Linked DNA regions of Alligator mississippiensis. Each later gene encodes a partner of the first gene's protein in a complex. Links are inferred from orthologs where the notes say so. Each region holds a gene or a part of one and is shown on either strand. Other genes may lie near its edges. The genes, in order: AMHR2 and AMH.

Evidence for each region.
Region 2: the proteins of AMHR2 (region 1) and AMH are in contact, whole or in part, in a crystal structure (PDB 7L0J), measured with the Homo sapiens proteins. The link is inferred for Alligator mississippiensis from reciprocal best matches to the Homo sapiens genes AMHR2 and AMH. Residues at the interface, in NP_065434.1 of Homo sapiens: Gly31, Val32, Arg33, Gly34, Ser35, Thr36, Thr38, Leu39, Phe62, Ile64, Glu75, Met76, Arg80, Asp81, Ser82, Glu84, Pro85, Ser95, Arg97, Ala98, Pro100, Ser101, Leu106, Thr108; in NP_000470.3 of Homo sapiens: Leu471, Arg472, Glu474, Val477, Leu478, Ile479, Pro480, Glu481, Thr482, Tyr483, Gln484, Lys534, Leu535, Ile537, Leu539, Glu542, Arg543, Ile544, Ser545, Ala546.

What each region holds. Positions count from the first base shown.
Region 1 is NC_081838.1:8,761,616-8,768,850, reverse strand, and holds the start of AMHR2 (anti-Muellerian hormone type-2 receptor), read left to right. Parts: upstream 1-3,994; 5' UTR 3,995-4,048; coding exon 4,049-4,382; intron 4,383-4,928; coding exon 4,929-5,063; intron 5,064-6,304; coding exon 6,305-6,385; intron 6,386-6,566; coding exon 6,567-6,706; intron 6,707-7,213; coding exon 7,214-7,235. UniProt on the Homo sapiens protein: On ligand binding, forms a receptor complex consisting of two type II and two type I transmembrane serine/threonine kinases.
Region 2 is NC_081839.1:7,009,347-7,016,520, reverse strand, and holds the start of AMH (muellerian-inhibiting factor precursor), read left to right. Parts: upstream 1-3,977; 5' UTR 3,978-4,144; coding exon 4,145-4,760; intron 4,761-7,174. Other genes in the region: SF3A2 (splicing factor 3A subunit 2), read left to right, coding at 1,481-1,813. UniProt on the Homo sapiens protein: Plays an important role in several reproductive functions. Induces Muellerian duct regression during male fetal sexual differentiation. Also plays a role in Leydig cell differentiation and function.

The DNA.
Region 1 (7,235 bases):
GGTCCAGCTCTGCTCCTCTTTTTCCCTTGGATATGATCCAGGTCCCCGGGGCAGGCTGGGGGTGAGTGTTATAGCACACCCTGGCCACTAGGTATTAGCTGGGCTCCGAGCAGAAGGCCAGAAGGGATCGCTGAGGGCCGTGCAGGCTCCAGCATTAGCTTTGCTGTCTTGTGCATTTGCAGGGTGGGGGGGGTTTAACTATTAGCGGAAGGCTGTTCTGCAGCCCTCACCCTGCCCTCTCCCTTTCCACCGGTTTCTGCTGCAGGATCTTAATGCCTTGTCGATCCATTTACCTCCTGCTCTGTGGGCTGCAGTCGGCAGGTGCTGGCCGTGGGCACAGCCCAGCCAAACTGTGAAGTGTCAACATGTTTTACCTAGTGTTTTTTACCTAGCTGCAGGGAGGGAGGGAGGGAGAACTCCTGCTGTACATTTTTCTGGCTGACATCTTTCTGCTCTCTCTCTCTCTCTATTTTTGCATTTGTATATTTTTATAGAGGAAACGTTAAGCATTTGTATTTTTGTACCGATCTGTGAAGCACTATGAATCCCAGACGCAGACCCCTGCCCATGCGTCGGGGCTTTCCGCCTCTTGCCCACCTGGGAAGTTTGCGGGTTCGATAGGAAGCAGTATTTCAACACTGTTTGGTCTCCCTGCCCCGCTGGGCTAGGTCAGCTCCTATGTCTCAGGCAGCTCCTTGAGAGAGCACTACCATCTCCTCCCTGTCGCTGGCCTTGATGTATCCAGGGGGATTTGGAGCACTCTGAGATCCTTGCAGGTTACAACATGGTGCGTGGCTGGTGTTCAGCACCGTTGCCCAGTACGTGCCATCTGGGAGAGCCCGTGTCCCTAGCGAGAGCATGTTGTCCTGCCCCTCGTCCATCCGTCCTAGCTGCTGTCTCACCCCAGCTTGTCAGCGCAGAAGCCTGATGCGTCTGGAAGGGACATGACAGGATTTAGGTGCCAAATTTTTCCCTTGCGGGACTGGGGGATCTGATGAGGAAGGAGTGGACAGTATTGTGCATTTCTCGAGCAAGGCCTGAGAGGGTGAGGCTGTTTGGAGCCCACGGGGTCTCATGGCATCCCAGAAACGCAAGCACTGGAGCCCATGCCCTGTAGGAGGGGGGCTCTGCCCATTGGGGCACCAGAACTGCTGTTGCAGTTTGCCAAGATGTTAATTTTCCTATGGAAACAAACCCAGCAGGAAGGGCCTTGCAGACTTCCTGCTCCCACAACCAGGGCCTGTGCCATGCAAAGCAGCAGCCTCCCGGGCTGTCTGGCCTGAGGTCCAGGGTTTGCTCTTGCTAGCTTCAGAGCAGCAGCTTCCAGCCGAAAGCAGGACACGGGCTCAGCCAGCAGAAGAGATGTTGAGAGCTAGCCTAGTCCATGCCAGGGCCAGCTAATGTGCAGAGCTGAACTACCTGTACATACCCCAGCCTCCAGGGAGCGGGAGCAGGGCAAAGGGACGGGGCTCACCTGGGCCACCAAAGGCTCTAGTGGCTTGAAGGTGCACAGATCCTTTCCCTTGGGACCTCTTTGCCAGTGCTGATTTCTCACGGCTGCAGATAGCACTGGGCTTCTTCCACCTCCTGGCTTGGTTCCCTCTGCTCTTGTTAGCATCACTGTATTAGCTGGCTAGTTCTGTTGGCATTGGCGTGGCTGCAGGCGCCTTGGGCTTGCAGCAGGTGCAAGGCGGCCACATCCCACCCTGGCAAAGATCCAGGGCACCGGTTCCCGTCCATGCCAGGCCTGGGGACCCTTGCCTCGTATCCTCAGTAACAACCCTGGTTTGGGCTGGAGCTGTCTGGGCAGCGATGCGGCAGTTTCCAACTTGGTAGGTGAACCCCGATTCCCCTGCCCTCCCTTTGCTGCCAGGGTCTTGCTCCCCTTAAATTGCACTGTTCCTTCAAGCACACACCAGCCGGCCGCTGCCTGGGGGACCCTGGGCCGGGGCTGTGGGAGCACTGTATAGTCCCTAGCCCGCAGGTGCCTGCGGGATCAAATGTGCCTTTTTTTATACAGGGGCTCCAAGCAGTAAAGCCATGTTCAACCAGGGGTCCCCTTTGCCAATTGGCCTCGTCCCGGGAATATCTTGTTTTTGAAGCAATTTTCGACGCCATAGATGGTTGGGAATGGCCTAGCTTTAATCTCCCCAGAATCCCATTACCCCTTGTTCCCACCACCCGCTGGGGAAAAGGCACGTGTCCACTACTTCTATGCATTACAGAGTGGAGGGGAGAGGGAAGGACCTTGCCGTGGGGCCCTCGAGGAGCCACAGAGACATTTCACCAGTGCCTCCCGCCGCTCACCGCGCTTTCCCTCGGGGCGGGGGTTTCGGTGTTGGGTGCCCATCGCCGCCGCGCGCAACCTTCTGTAACACTGGCAATAATCCTCTGTATCCATGTAAAGACCCTTTTATCTTGTAATGATGTCTCTGTGCTTTTTTTAATCCAATTGCCGATGTAATGATGTCTGAAACACATTTTAAAAGTGCTATTTTTTTTGTACAAAGATTAGATATTAAATGTAGTTTGGCTCCTTTGTAAACGGATGACAATTTTTTTTTTTTTTTAAAGGTAATAAACCAGCGTCTATGGAGTTGTATTCAAATCCAGCATGGCCAGTTTCGTACTTAAGACTGTTTCATTGCTTGTAGGTGGGCGCTTGAGGCCAAGTCCTTGCCTCGGGCACCCGTTTCTTTTCTCGGGTTGCTGCCATAAATGCAGCCCTGCTCCAGCCTTGTTTTACTGCGCTGTCAGAATAGGGGAAAGCAAAGTTACATAAGGGGCCTGTAGGATATTTTTTCCAAGGAGTTCATGGAGTGCTGCCTCTCAATGCAGGTGAGGGCAGGCAAAGGTACGTGTCTCGTGTCTCTCTCCAGAGGTCCTGGCTGCAGAAGCCTGTCTGCCAGCACATGTCCCACTCCTGCTGTCCTCGTCCTGATACCCTCAGCTGTGACGTTGGCACCGTTCTGCAGCCGGTCCCAAAGCCTGTTACAAAAGAGACCGGGTTCCCACTGTCGTGTTACAGCGGAAGAAACTGAGGCACGTGGTGGGGAATTGACTTCAGTGTTAAGAGTCCCAAAGCCAGGAAGGTTCTAAATCACTTGGGGTCTCTTGGAGATTTGCTCCCCTAACCTTAGTCACCAAAGAGCCTTGTGTGCTTGGAGAACCTGCCTCCCTTTCCAAGGGCTGGGAGCTTTGCAGACCCCAGCAGCTTGCACGACCTGGAGAAAATCGTTCACCGAGGGTCTGCAACTAACAGCAGAAGAGATCTCGGGACTCGGAGCCGACGGGCAGTAACCTGGGGGTACCTGCAGGCTGCCACCTGGGTTTTGAGGGGGAGGCTGGGCTCTTCCACATCAGGTGGGAGCTGGAGCCTGGCAAGCTGTATACACACGCATACATGCACAAGCGTATTGGGCAGGATGTGGTGGTCTCCTAAAATCACAGGATTTTAGAGCCAAACTCCTAATTTCGGGGCCAGCTTGGGCTCTCCAAGACTTTGCGGCTGACAGGGCTGTAGGGGCTCGGGGAAGGGTCCAGAGATGAGCGGGTAAAATGCTGGGGGGTCCCTATGTAGAGCCAGGCCCAGCTCCCCCTGAAATGCATGGCTGGCGTAGGGGAGAATGCAGCTGCTTCTGGGGTGGAGCAAATCAATGGCTGCACGTGAGCCCAGGCTGAGGGGAGGCCGATCCTGCTGCAGCTGTGGGGGAGGCTGGACTCTCCCAACGGCGCTGAGGGCCCAGCTTGGGGTAGCCAGGCTTTGGGGAGCTGCTTGCCCCACGGGCGCAGCTCTCTAATCCCGAAGCCATTGGAGCTGGGGAGCATGTGGAGTGGGGTTGCATCTTAGCTGGGACCAGGTGCCCCGGGGTGCGGTACCCCTGTCTGTCCCGTCGCCTGTTTCTCATCCAGCCTCCGGCTGTTGACAGCGTCCCAGCCCCGGCCCCCGCATGCAGCCGGCCAAGTCCTTCCCACCTGTGCCGGCCCCCAGGGAGGGCCAGCGGGCAGCCTGGGGTGGGCTCACATACACACACACGCACGCACACGCATGCTCCAGGTGCCAGGAGACGGAGCACGGGCCACGGCCACCATGGGCTCCGGGGCCACGAGCCTATGGGGGGGGCTGGGGCTGAGCCTGGGCCTGGCAGGTACGGAACAAGACAGACGGCACTTGGGGGGTCTCTCCACCCGGGACCCAGCCCAGCCTCATGTCTCCGCAGGCGTCTTGGGCAGGAGCTGCATCTTTTACGAGCACCCCAGCGTGCGGGGCAGCCTGCGGCACCAGGGCCGCGCGCTGACGGGCACCGAGCCTGGCGCTGTGCAGTGCCTTCAAAGCGAATGCTGCTTCGGCCTCTGGAACCAGAGCCACATCCTCATGCAAGGTGAGGTGCCCAGACACTGGGGTCCAGCATGGTTTGGATGGTGGCAAGACCCTGTGCCAGAGCCCTAAATTCCACCACGGGGAGGAGAGCGGGGTCTGCCTGGTAGGGCAGAGCAGTGGGGCCAGGAGCCCGGACGCCTGGGTCCCTGCCCGTCTGTGGGAGGGGAGCAGTGGTCAAGGACCCCCTCCTGGGTTCTCCTGGGAAAGGAGTAGGGTCCTGTGGGTCTCGTGGAGGAGCAGGGAGCCCAGACTCCTGGGTTCATCCCTAACCTGGCTGTGGGAACTCATGGACAGTGCTGTGGGAAGTGAGGGTTGCTCCAGCTGGAAGGATAAGCCTATCTGCTGGGTGCTCTGGGCTGGCAGCACCCCCCCCCCCCAACTCTGCCAGACCCCCGTGCCCAACGGGAGGCATTTGTGGGCACCAGGCAGTCGGGGTATGAGACCCACGGTGTCTTGGAAGGAGGTGTGGGGGTCTAGGGAGAGCAGAGCTGTGTTTGGGGTGGGGGCGGTGCCTTGACGCCTCGGTCCGTCGGTGTGTCCGGGGCAGGTTGCTGGAGCAGCGACCGGGACGGCTGCGAGGCGGTGGCCTGTGTACCCAGCCCTCGCGCCAACCTGCTGCGCTGCCTCTGCCGTGCTGATCTCTGCAACGCCAACATCAGTGCCCTGGGGGCTGCACCACAGGGTATGTACCCCCCCAGAGCAGAACTGGGGGATCCTCTGTGCACAGGGGCCTGTGAGGGCCTCCTGGACCAGGGCTGGGGGGGCAGGGTTACCCCTGGGGTCATGAGAGCAGCCTGTGCCCCCCCTCCCGGCCCCCACGGCGGGCCTGGGGCTGGGTCCCAGTTGCTATAGAGATCTGGGGGTCTCCCATTCTCACCTCAGGCTGCTCCCCCCCCCACCCCCCAGGAGCACCCAAGGGCCCTAGGCCAGGCCTGGGAGCCCCAAAAATGGGTCCAGAGCCTGGCAGAGCTGGCTCAGAGAGGGGCTGGGGCAGGGGTCCCTCGTAAAGACGAGAGCTCCATGTAGGGGGCCGGGGCCGGCTGGGGTCACAGGAGGCTCTGGGCAGGGATGTGGGGGTCAGCCAAGCAGAGGTGCAAGAGAGGGGGCTGGCTTGGGCTTATTTGTCTGGGGGGGCCTCCAGGCCCTGCCAACCCCCCACCCTTCGCCTTCATGCCCCCCACAGCCCTCAGCAGGCCCCTCTGCCCTGCCGGGATGGAGCAGCCCCCTCGCAGGTGCAGCCCCCGCCTGTCCCGTGGGGGAGTCTGCGTCTGAGCTCTGGGCCCAGCTGCTGAGACCTTGGAGTGGGCGCCAGGCGGAGGGGCCTCGGCCAGCCTGATAAACCCGTAGGAGCCGGGACTGTGGCGCTCACACAGCCCCGCCTGGCCCGAGGAGCCCCCTGCCACGGGGCCCCGGCGGGTCTGGCCGGACACTTGGGTTCTCTTCCCGGTTCTTGCAGGTTGGGGAGGTCTGGACACCTGGCTAGTTTCCAGGGCAGCTTTCACCTGGTCCAGCTGGACCCCAGGGGATGATGGCTGTCCCCCAGGGGGGTAGCTCTGCAGGCTTGCAGCCTGGGCCAGCCCAGGAGGGGTTGATTTTCCCCCGTTTTTTGCCTGCCTCCTGGGCACTAAACCTGCTTCTACCTCTGGCCCCCACCCTGAGACACCCCTGCCCCCCTGCCTTCTCTCCACTGGAGTCCAGGCCCCACTGCCTGCCTCCCAAGACTCTGGATGAGAACCAGATGTCCTGACTCCTAGCCCCTGCCCGTCCCTACCCGCTGACCCTCAAGCTGCCCTGTCTGCAAGAAGGAGTGGGGGGGATGTCTCAGAGGGCCCCCAGCCACGGCTCGGGGGAGCCATGCTTATGCCACGGGCCATGGCTGCTGGGGGCCGTGCCTCTCTGCACCCCTCTCCCTGCCTCCCGCAGCGTCCTCGGCCTCCACTCCCTCCGGGCCCCTGTGCATCGCGGGCGCTGTCCTGCTCTTCCTGGGCTGCCTGGCCCTCCTAGGTACACCTGGCCTGGGCGAGTGGGGTGCCAGCCCTGCCCTGGGTTGGGGGGGTGGCACAGGGGCGTGGGGCACTGGGGGGTGCCACAGGGGCGCGGGGCAGTGGTTGCAACCCTGGCTGGGGTGCTGTGGCTCTCCGGCCCCATGGTGCTGGGGATCCTGGTGACCTGTGTCTCCCCTCAGGGCTGTGGCGAGTGAAGGTCTGCTCCATGCTGCTGAGCTGCCGGGCCCGGGGGAAGCATGCCAAGGGGGTCCCGGGCCCCAGCTCTGCCCTCCCCAGGGACCCCCCCAGCCAGGAGCTGCCAGCGCTTCACTTCCTACAGGTCTGGGCTGGGATGGGTTGCCACCGGGGGCTGCCCCTGGGCATCTGTCCCCCTCCTCCCCTGGCACCAGTGGGATGGAGGGGGAAGCAGGGCCTTGGCCAGGTCAAGCCGGTTTATAGGCCAGTACTGCCCTAGCCTGGCCCCAGTGCTGTGAGCTTCCTCACAGCAGTGCCCTAGCCTACACCCCTGGCATGGTGAGGTTCACCACAGCAATGCCCCAGCCGGGCCCCTAGTGCTGCAAGTTTCCCCCCAGCAGTGCCCTGGACTGGCCCCCAGCGCTGTGAGCTTCCCCATAGCAGTTCCCTGACTTACACCCTGGCTCTGGGAGCTTCCCCTACAGCAGTGCCCTGTCCTGGCCCCTAGTGCTGTGAGCTTCCCCTCCCTCAGCAGTGTCCTGGCTTGGGACCGGTGCTGGGAGCTTCCCCTGACCAATGCCCTAGCCTAACCCCTAGTGCTGAAAGCTTTCCCCCAGCAGTGCCCTGGATTAGACGGGGTCTGTGCCCACAGGTCCTGCAGACCGGGCGCTTCT
Region 2 (7,174 bases), on another chromosome or scaffold:
GACTGGCTCACAGGCATAAGACCTTTGCAGGTCGACTTCTTTTCTTAGTCTTGTGTTGAAATGTTTCCATTTACAGTCTAATTACTCTTTTTGGAACATATGAAATGAGCTTCCTTTCCTCCCAGAAGACAGGCCTTCATACCCTTACAGCTTTTCTTACACCAGTTCTGCAAGCCCTCTTGCTTGCAGTCCCAGTTGGCAGGTCGAGACTTGAATGGTTTTGTAAGACTATATTCCGTTCGTGCCCCCAGAAGTCCCTAGAGGTGAGGTTTGAAATGTATTTTGGGGAAAATTTGTACAGCTACTGCAGTACATGCTAACTGCAGAGAAAGATAGTTAGCTGTGTTCCCCATGTTCACTGTAGAGAATAAAGAATGTAATTGTGCAGGGCTATCAAGCCAGCTCCCATGACCAGTGGTAAGTTCACTAACAATAAAAACATGAAGCTGAGAGAGCTCTACTTGAGGAATTTTCCAGTTTTGTTTCTATTTTGGAAGCTAGGTTTGGAGGCAGATATTGCCACATGGGATATACTGACTTTCCAAAGCCTGGCACTAAGGGGTTAGTACCTAGCATCATGTTCTGCTCCTAGTATCATTGGGGGACACCTCTGAGAGCCAGCTATTGCACAGTGACATACATATGCATGAGGTTCTGGGCTGCAGTATGGCGTGGCACATGCATATTTTCAGATAGGTGTAGGATGCTAAATTGGTCACTTCCAGCTTGGCATTTGTGCTGAGCCGAAAGAGCATGAGGACTTAGAATGACAAGTGGGACCATTGGTGCAAAGCTGTGGAGAGAGGCAGTGTGTAATATGGGTGGAGAGGCAGTGTGTAATATATACTTTTAGGGATCATTTCTATAGTTGGTGACTAGAGAAGTGTGTCCAAAAGTGACCTGGTCTTCTGGATCAGGATGTACTACAGATGTTGGTTCAGAAGCAGTCACCTAGGCCACGTCCAGATGAGTGCAGCTGTGAGGTATGTGGTGCTGCCAACCCATCTGCCGCACCACACACTGCACATTCAGGTTTTCCGTGTGCTGCGACCTCTGTACTGCTACGAAGGGATCAAAACAAACCTGTGTGGGGGGGAAAAAAAGTGGGGCAGCACACGTGGCAGCAGCATGTGCTGCCCAAAACCGGAGTCTGGCCAGCTGAAGCCATGCTCTGGCTGTTGGCCAGGCTCCCAGCTCCAAGAGCCCAAGTAAAGCTGCTGGGGCAGCACAGTTGCTGGGCCCAGCCTTCCCTTCCCCACCCAGGGTAACCTGCCACGCACCACAGTGCACGTGGCTTGGGTGCTCCCTGGGGATAAGTAGCAGTGGTACAAGGTGTGCTGCTGCTACTTGTCCCTGGGAAACCAAACGTCCCCGTTCATGTGGACGTGGCCCTGGTGTTGTTCCTTGAGGCATCAGGAGAGAAGTGGGCAGACCAGTCACCCTGTGATTTATTTTTAATCTCTCCCTCTTTTTGCTCTAGTTTTTCCTTCAGTTCCATTTCAAGATGGAGAAGCCTCCAGCTCCTCAAAGTATCCCTCCTGGGCCCCCAACTGTGAAGAGGCCTCCACCACCCCCACTGATGAATGGCTTGCCCCCCAGGCCACCCTTGCCAGACTCTCTGCCACCGCCACCTCCTCCAGGAGGCATGCCCTTGCCACCCATGCCTCCCTCTGGGCCTGTACCGCCCCCAGCACCACCTCAGTTGCCACCAACTCCTGGGGTACCTCCTCCTGCTCCTCTGCCACCAATGATGAGACCACCTCTGCCCACGGAGGGGCCAGGGACTATTCCCCCTCCACCTCCTTCCAACTGAAAAGCTTTTCCTGGACTCTCTCAGTGGACTTCTTTGATTTGTGTATTTTACTTGCACACCACATCCTGCTCAGAGATGATAAATATTTGTCCTTTTTATATGCCAGCGGTTTTTGCCTAAATCTCGTAGGTTCATTAAAAGGCTTTCAACTTTATTTTCTGCATACATGCTTCTCTTTTTGAGTAAAACTGTTGCCTTTGTTTTCATACAAGTGTTGTTTAAAGGCCCCACAATGAGGAGGTAGGAAAATTATCAGTCTTGAAATATTTAGTAGCTTATCAGAACTTATCCAGTTAGCAGACAAATGACTGGAGTTACCTGGAAATCTACTTTTAATTTAATTAACCATGAATTTAAAGTAATGTGAGTTCCTGAGCTCCAGAGTGACATTTATTTCCTCATAAATTTTTTATTTAGCTGGAGGTGGTAATAGTTCACAGTCCACATTGTCGCATGATAAATACCCACTATCACCACATCAGTGGGCAGCAGGCCAGCTCCCATCAAAAATATGGGAAGTTGTCTCCATTTCAGTAGCAAATGTTTGCACCGTTTTCACTGAAGATGGGTCCTGCCCAGGGTGATCAACATCCACTCCCATTGCCTGCAGCATAGTTGCACTTGTTTTTGTTCCTACCTAGATGCCACCATGCATATCTAGGGGTTTATGTACACAAGAAGTTACTCTAGGATTGGTATCCAGAATAGCTCCCTGCATGCGTGCTTTTATCGTAGGTCATCTACTTTGATCTGCATGAGCAAAATTCATTTTGGAAGTGGATTAAGTAGGTTGGAATAAGAATATGTATGCAGGGAAATACTTAAGAATAGCTATTGCACTTTTAAATACTGCTCTGTCTTAAACTGAATTAGCTTCCTTGTGTAGATAAACCATTGGCAAATTGCTGGCAGAAGATTTATGCCCTGTAGGATGTTTGATTTGTGTCCAATGCAGAGGTAGTACAATGGCTCCATCACACATGGCTTGTGTGTCAGAAGTGCAGACAAAGTAAGCATAAAGTAAAATTTTTAAGCAGAGAAAATCAATCTGGAACTTCTTTTAAATGAACATTTAACTAAATGTTATAATGACTTCTGGAGTTATAAAAAAAAAAAAATCGATGTTGGCTGCTGTCCTGAACCATGAGTCTTAACAGGCTTTGCGTTTTATCTTTGTCAAGTCAAAATATCCTACCTGGACAAAGCTTGGCATCATCATCGTTTGTAGCTACCCGGAGAAGGCTTGGAGTCATAGTTTGTAGGGCCCATTGTAGAGAATTCTGGATCCAGGAACCCTTTGCTCCATTGGATTCAAGGCATGTGATAAAACCAGCTATTGTGTGCACTGTAGTCAGCTCATGAGTAGAGTTTGACAGCAAAACCCTGTGAGCTAGCAGGAAAAGTCTGCCTGTATGTTTTGTTTTAAAGATGCACTGTTTTGGGAAAGAAATAGGCATAACATTTCCTTGGAATGGGTGTGATGGCCAGAATTAGCTATCCTAAATAGCATATTTACTGTTGGCAACAGAAGAAGTGATTAAGAAATCCTGTGCATGTGATAAGTATGGATTTAAGGTGTTTCATCTCTCTAGGCCATTGCAGAACTGCTTCTTGTGACCTTATCCAGTCTAGTTTAAAATAATCAAGGTATGTTTCCATTGCTTCCCTCTAAAAATCCCTTTCTGGTTCTCCTGCAGAAAAGAATTATTTTGAGACCCAAGCAGGTGAGCGTTTTGGAAGGAGCTGTGAAAGACTGGAGTTGTCATAAGATGACCCCTCTACACTGCCTGCAAAATGGAAGCACAGGAGCTGCCAGTTTAATCCAGGGACACTCCAGTAGGGAAAGGTTATAGATTACACAAATTTACTTTCTCTTAATTCCTCTCATTGTCCCTGTTTAGTACCTGCTGCTTTCTCTCTAACAAATTCCCCTTGGTATTTCCAACCTTAGGGAGGCTGTGCCAAATTAAATTCAAATCTAAACTTCTCTTCTCCCTTCCCTTCCCTCTCCCCACACACACATATACCATTCTTTAAAAACATTTTAAGTCAAGGACATGAATCCCTAAAAAGAAGGTAAACAGTTTCAATTTTATAACATTTCCAAGCACTGGTTGCAAAGCCAAAAATAGAAAGACTCCTTTGAATTGGCCCTCCCTCCTTTATAGCACATTGGCCTTTGAATTTCTCAAGGGAGGTGTGTTGTGCATTGTCAACTCAAGGTCACTGCCTTCTGAAGGGAGATAGAGTCCTCCTGTCCTGCACAAAGGTTTAAAAGATGGATTCTGGCAACTCTTAACAGCTGAGTTCAGAGCTGCTCAAAGCTGGAACATGGGTCCTGTGCTTAGGGTGGTTTTGCAGTGCCTGCTGCTGCTGTTCCCCTCTACAGCTCTACCTAGAATAGGAAGCTTTGGGGAAGGCCTTTCACCTGCTGAACTGCAAAGTACTGTTGCAAGAGAGTTAGGACTTGGAGAGGAGGAAAACATGAGTAGTCATGCAGGAGCAGGAAACTTCATAGCCTCAAAGGGCAGAGCCACAGTTGCTCCTCACCTGCTCTTGAAGGCTGGTGAGCCAAGAGGGGATTCCAAAGTAGTAAAACACAACCAGCTCATTACTGAAGATCAAGGAGTCTTCTCCTATCTGCAGCCTAATGCCAGCCTTCACCCATGGCTTTTGGGTGGGCTAGAAGGACCAGTGTGCAGGCTGAAAATGGACAGGAAGGATGGCCTGGGCCAGAGTCACTTGGAAGTCATGGGTGTCCTTACCAGCTATGAAAGTGACTTCATCAAGTTGGTGAGACATGCTGGCTGGGAAGAAGCCCCCCTGGAGACCTTTGGTCTCTGCTCTGCAGGGGACACATCTGCTGCACTCCTGTCTCTGAAACACATCAGTGCTCATTTGAGTGAGCCAGGAGAGAACCAGTTTCTGGTCCTGCACCTGGAGGAAGGTACGTGCTTCACTTTCTTCTAGGGTTTAATAAAGCAAATCCTGAAGTGACGGAGGCTTAGAGAAGTGCTTGGATAGGGTGGTGAGGAATGCAAGGCAACGTTGCTTTGCAGACTAGAGAGAAAGATGTTGCTGGAAGAAGACATCTGGGGGCTGGATTCTTCTCTAAGTGGTTGATAACGAGGGGTAGTTAGCCATGTTGGTCCGAAGTTAGGCAGAAGACGGGACAAGGTGGCATCTTACAGACTTGTTTGGAGAGGTGTGAGCTCTCCTAGGCTCCAGACTACTTTGTTAAATGTTACCAGTACTCTGACATAGCCTACTTTGACAAAGCAAGCTGCTGTGGCCTAGGAGAGCTCATGCCTCTGAATTGGTCCATAAGCTGTTACCCTGCCTAATTTTTATAATGCAATAGACTTTTTCCAACATGTCTTTAAGGAAACTACAATTCTGCTGGGTGACCTCTCAAGGGTGTATGTGTTGTAACTTCTAGCATTGTTGGCTAGCGGACACCACTACCACCCTCTCCCCAGATAAGAACTGTTGTCGCATCCTGGCATAAAACAGACCACCAGCATTTATTCCTCCAATAGTATCAGTAAAAGCCCAGACAATCATGTAGATAAAGTTCTCTATGTGGGGAAAAGAGAGGAGAAAACAGGACAGAAAGATTGATTTAGTTTTTCTGCATGGATGCTGCTGTAGTTCATGGCGAGGTTTGCTACAAAGGGAGAAAGTCAGTGGCTCTGCTCTTGCCTGCTATTAGTTCACAGGAGTTCAGAGGTCGTGCTGGAGGGCAGAGTGTAAAATCCTAGAGAGATCAAGTTGCTTAGCACAGTTCCCCTTTCTTCTTTTTTTCTCCTGTTGGTGTTAATCTTATTTCTGTCTCCAAACCCTGTTCCTGAGGAGAAATCGGAGTGCTTGCTGCCTTGCAGTCTGTCTTTGTCAAAACCTTGCAGTTATTCCTTTGCAGTAAAAGCCACAGGGAGCTCTGGTGAACGCAATGCAGATGGAACTTTGCACCCCTTGCGCAGCAGGGTAGGGAAGAGAAATGGCAGCCCTGAGCCTTTTCAAAGTGATTGCATCATTTAAACATCTGCATTTGAGTATCTGGCATTTGACTACTGGGTTTGTTCCAATGTTGTTCCAGTACAAGCATGGCTTTAACCTGGCTGAGTGTTTGGCTTCTGCTGAGACTGCAATGCAAGGCACATGCCCCTGTGCACTGCTGACCAGCCCAGTTTAGGGGGGTTGTTCTGTGGGTTCCTGCCTAAGTTCCCCAAATAGCTGGTTAAAAACTGTTTGAGACCACCCAGCGACTTTAGAGATGCACAATGCTCGCCCCAGTCAGTGGCACCTGAGCTCTCCGTTTTGTCCTTCGGCATGGTTTGATACAGGTTCTCAAACAAAAAAGCCCTTAGGCCTATGTTACGGGAAGCTGGGCTAGCACGCTGCCCTCAGCAGAACTGTATTTAATGTCTGTTCTAAATAATCCAAGAAGATCCATGCCTGGGAAGCTCCCCAGGTCCCTACACAGCAGCCCATGGCTTCAGGCACTAACTATTTTTGAATTTTAAAATAAAAACAAATATGCCCTGTCATTTAGCAGAATACATCACATTCCTCTGTCCCGTTTTGCTGCCTCCTCATTTGCATTTATTAAGTAGCATCAGTAGTTATGCAAATTTGCTGTGGGTTTTGCAACCCCTGGATCACACCTGGGTTTGAAGCTGGGAGCAGCTCAGTCTAAGCTTGGCTCTGGTGCCCTTTTCTAGGACGCTGATCTCTCCCCAGGCAGCAGCACCCCCACCATGTTGTCCAGATTCCTGCCTCCTGCTTATTTGCTGCAGGGGTGATGGGGTTTTTGGTTTAAATGTTTAAAAGTGCCTGCTAATTCTGTCCTCGGTGTTGGGATGCCCGACCTGATGAGATGCCCTAGGCCTGGGTTTTGAAAGCACTCAGTCCTGCCAAATCCAACTGCCAGCAGTGGATGCAACAGGTGCTCAGCAGTGCTGAAAGTCAGCCCCAGGTATCTCAGGTGTGGTACCCAGCACCTGAGCCCCCCCCAGTCACTGGCCATGCATAACATTTTTGGACTTGAGTTCTTCAAGTCTCTATTCAGGTCTCCATCCCACAGAAAAGTCAGCTGCTGTTTGGGCCTTTGGTGAGCATGACTATGTTCCCGGGTAGAAAAGGAGATGTGAAGGGTTCCCTGGGGAGCGCTGTCTAGTGATCGCAGCAGGGCACTCCCAATCACTTCTGGGTTCTGCTCATTGCCACAGCTTTTCTTCCATCAATTGAGGTGGTGCCTTGGAGCCCCCGTCAGAGCGCAGGGCCCATTTGTGCCAGGTGCTGTACGACCTGGGAGATGAGATGACCTCCACACCCAAGAGCAATCTCCCTCCTGCCTCCGCT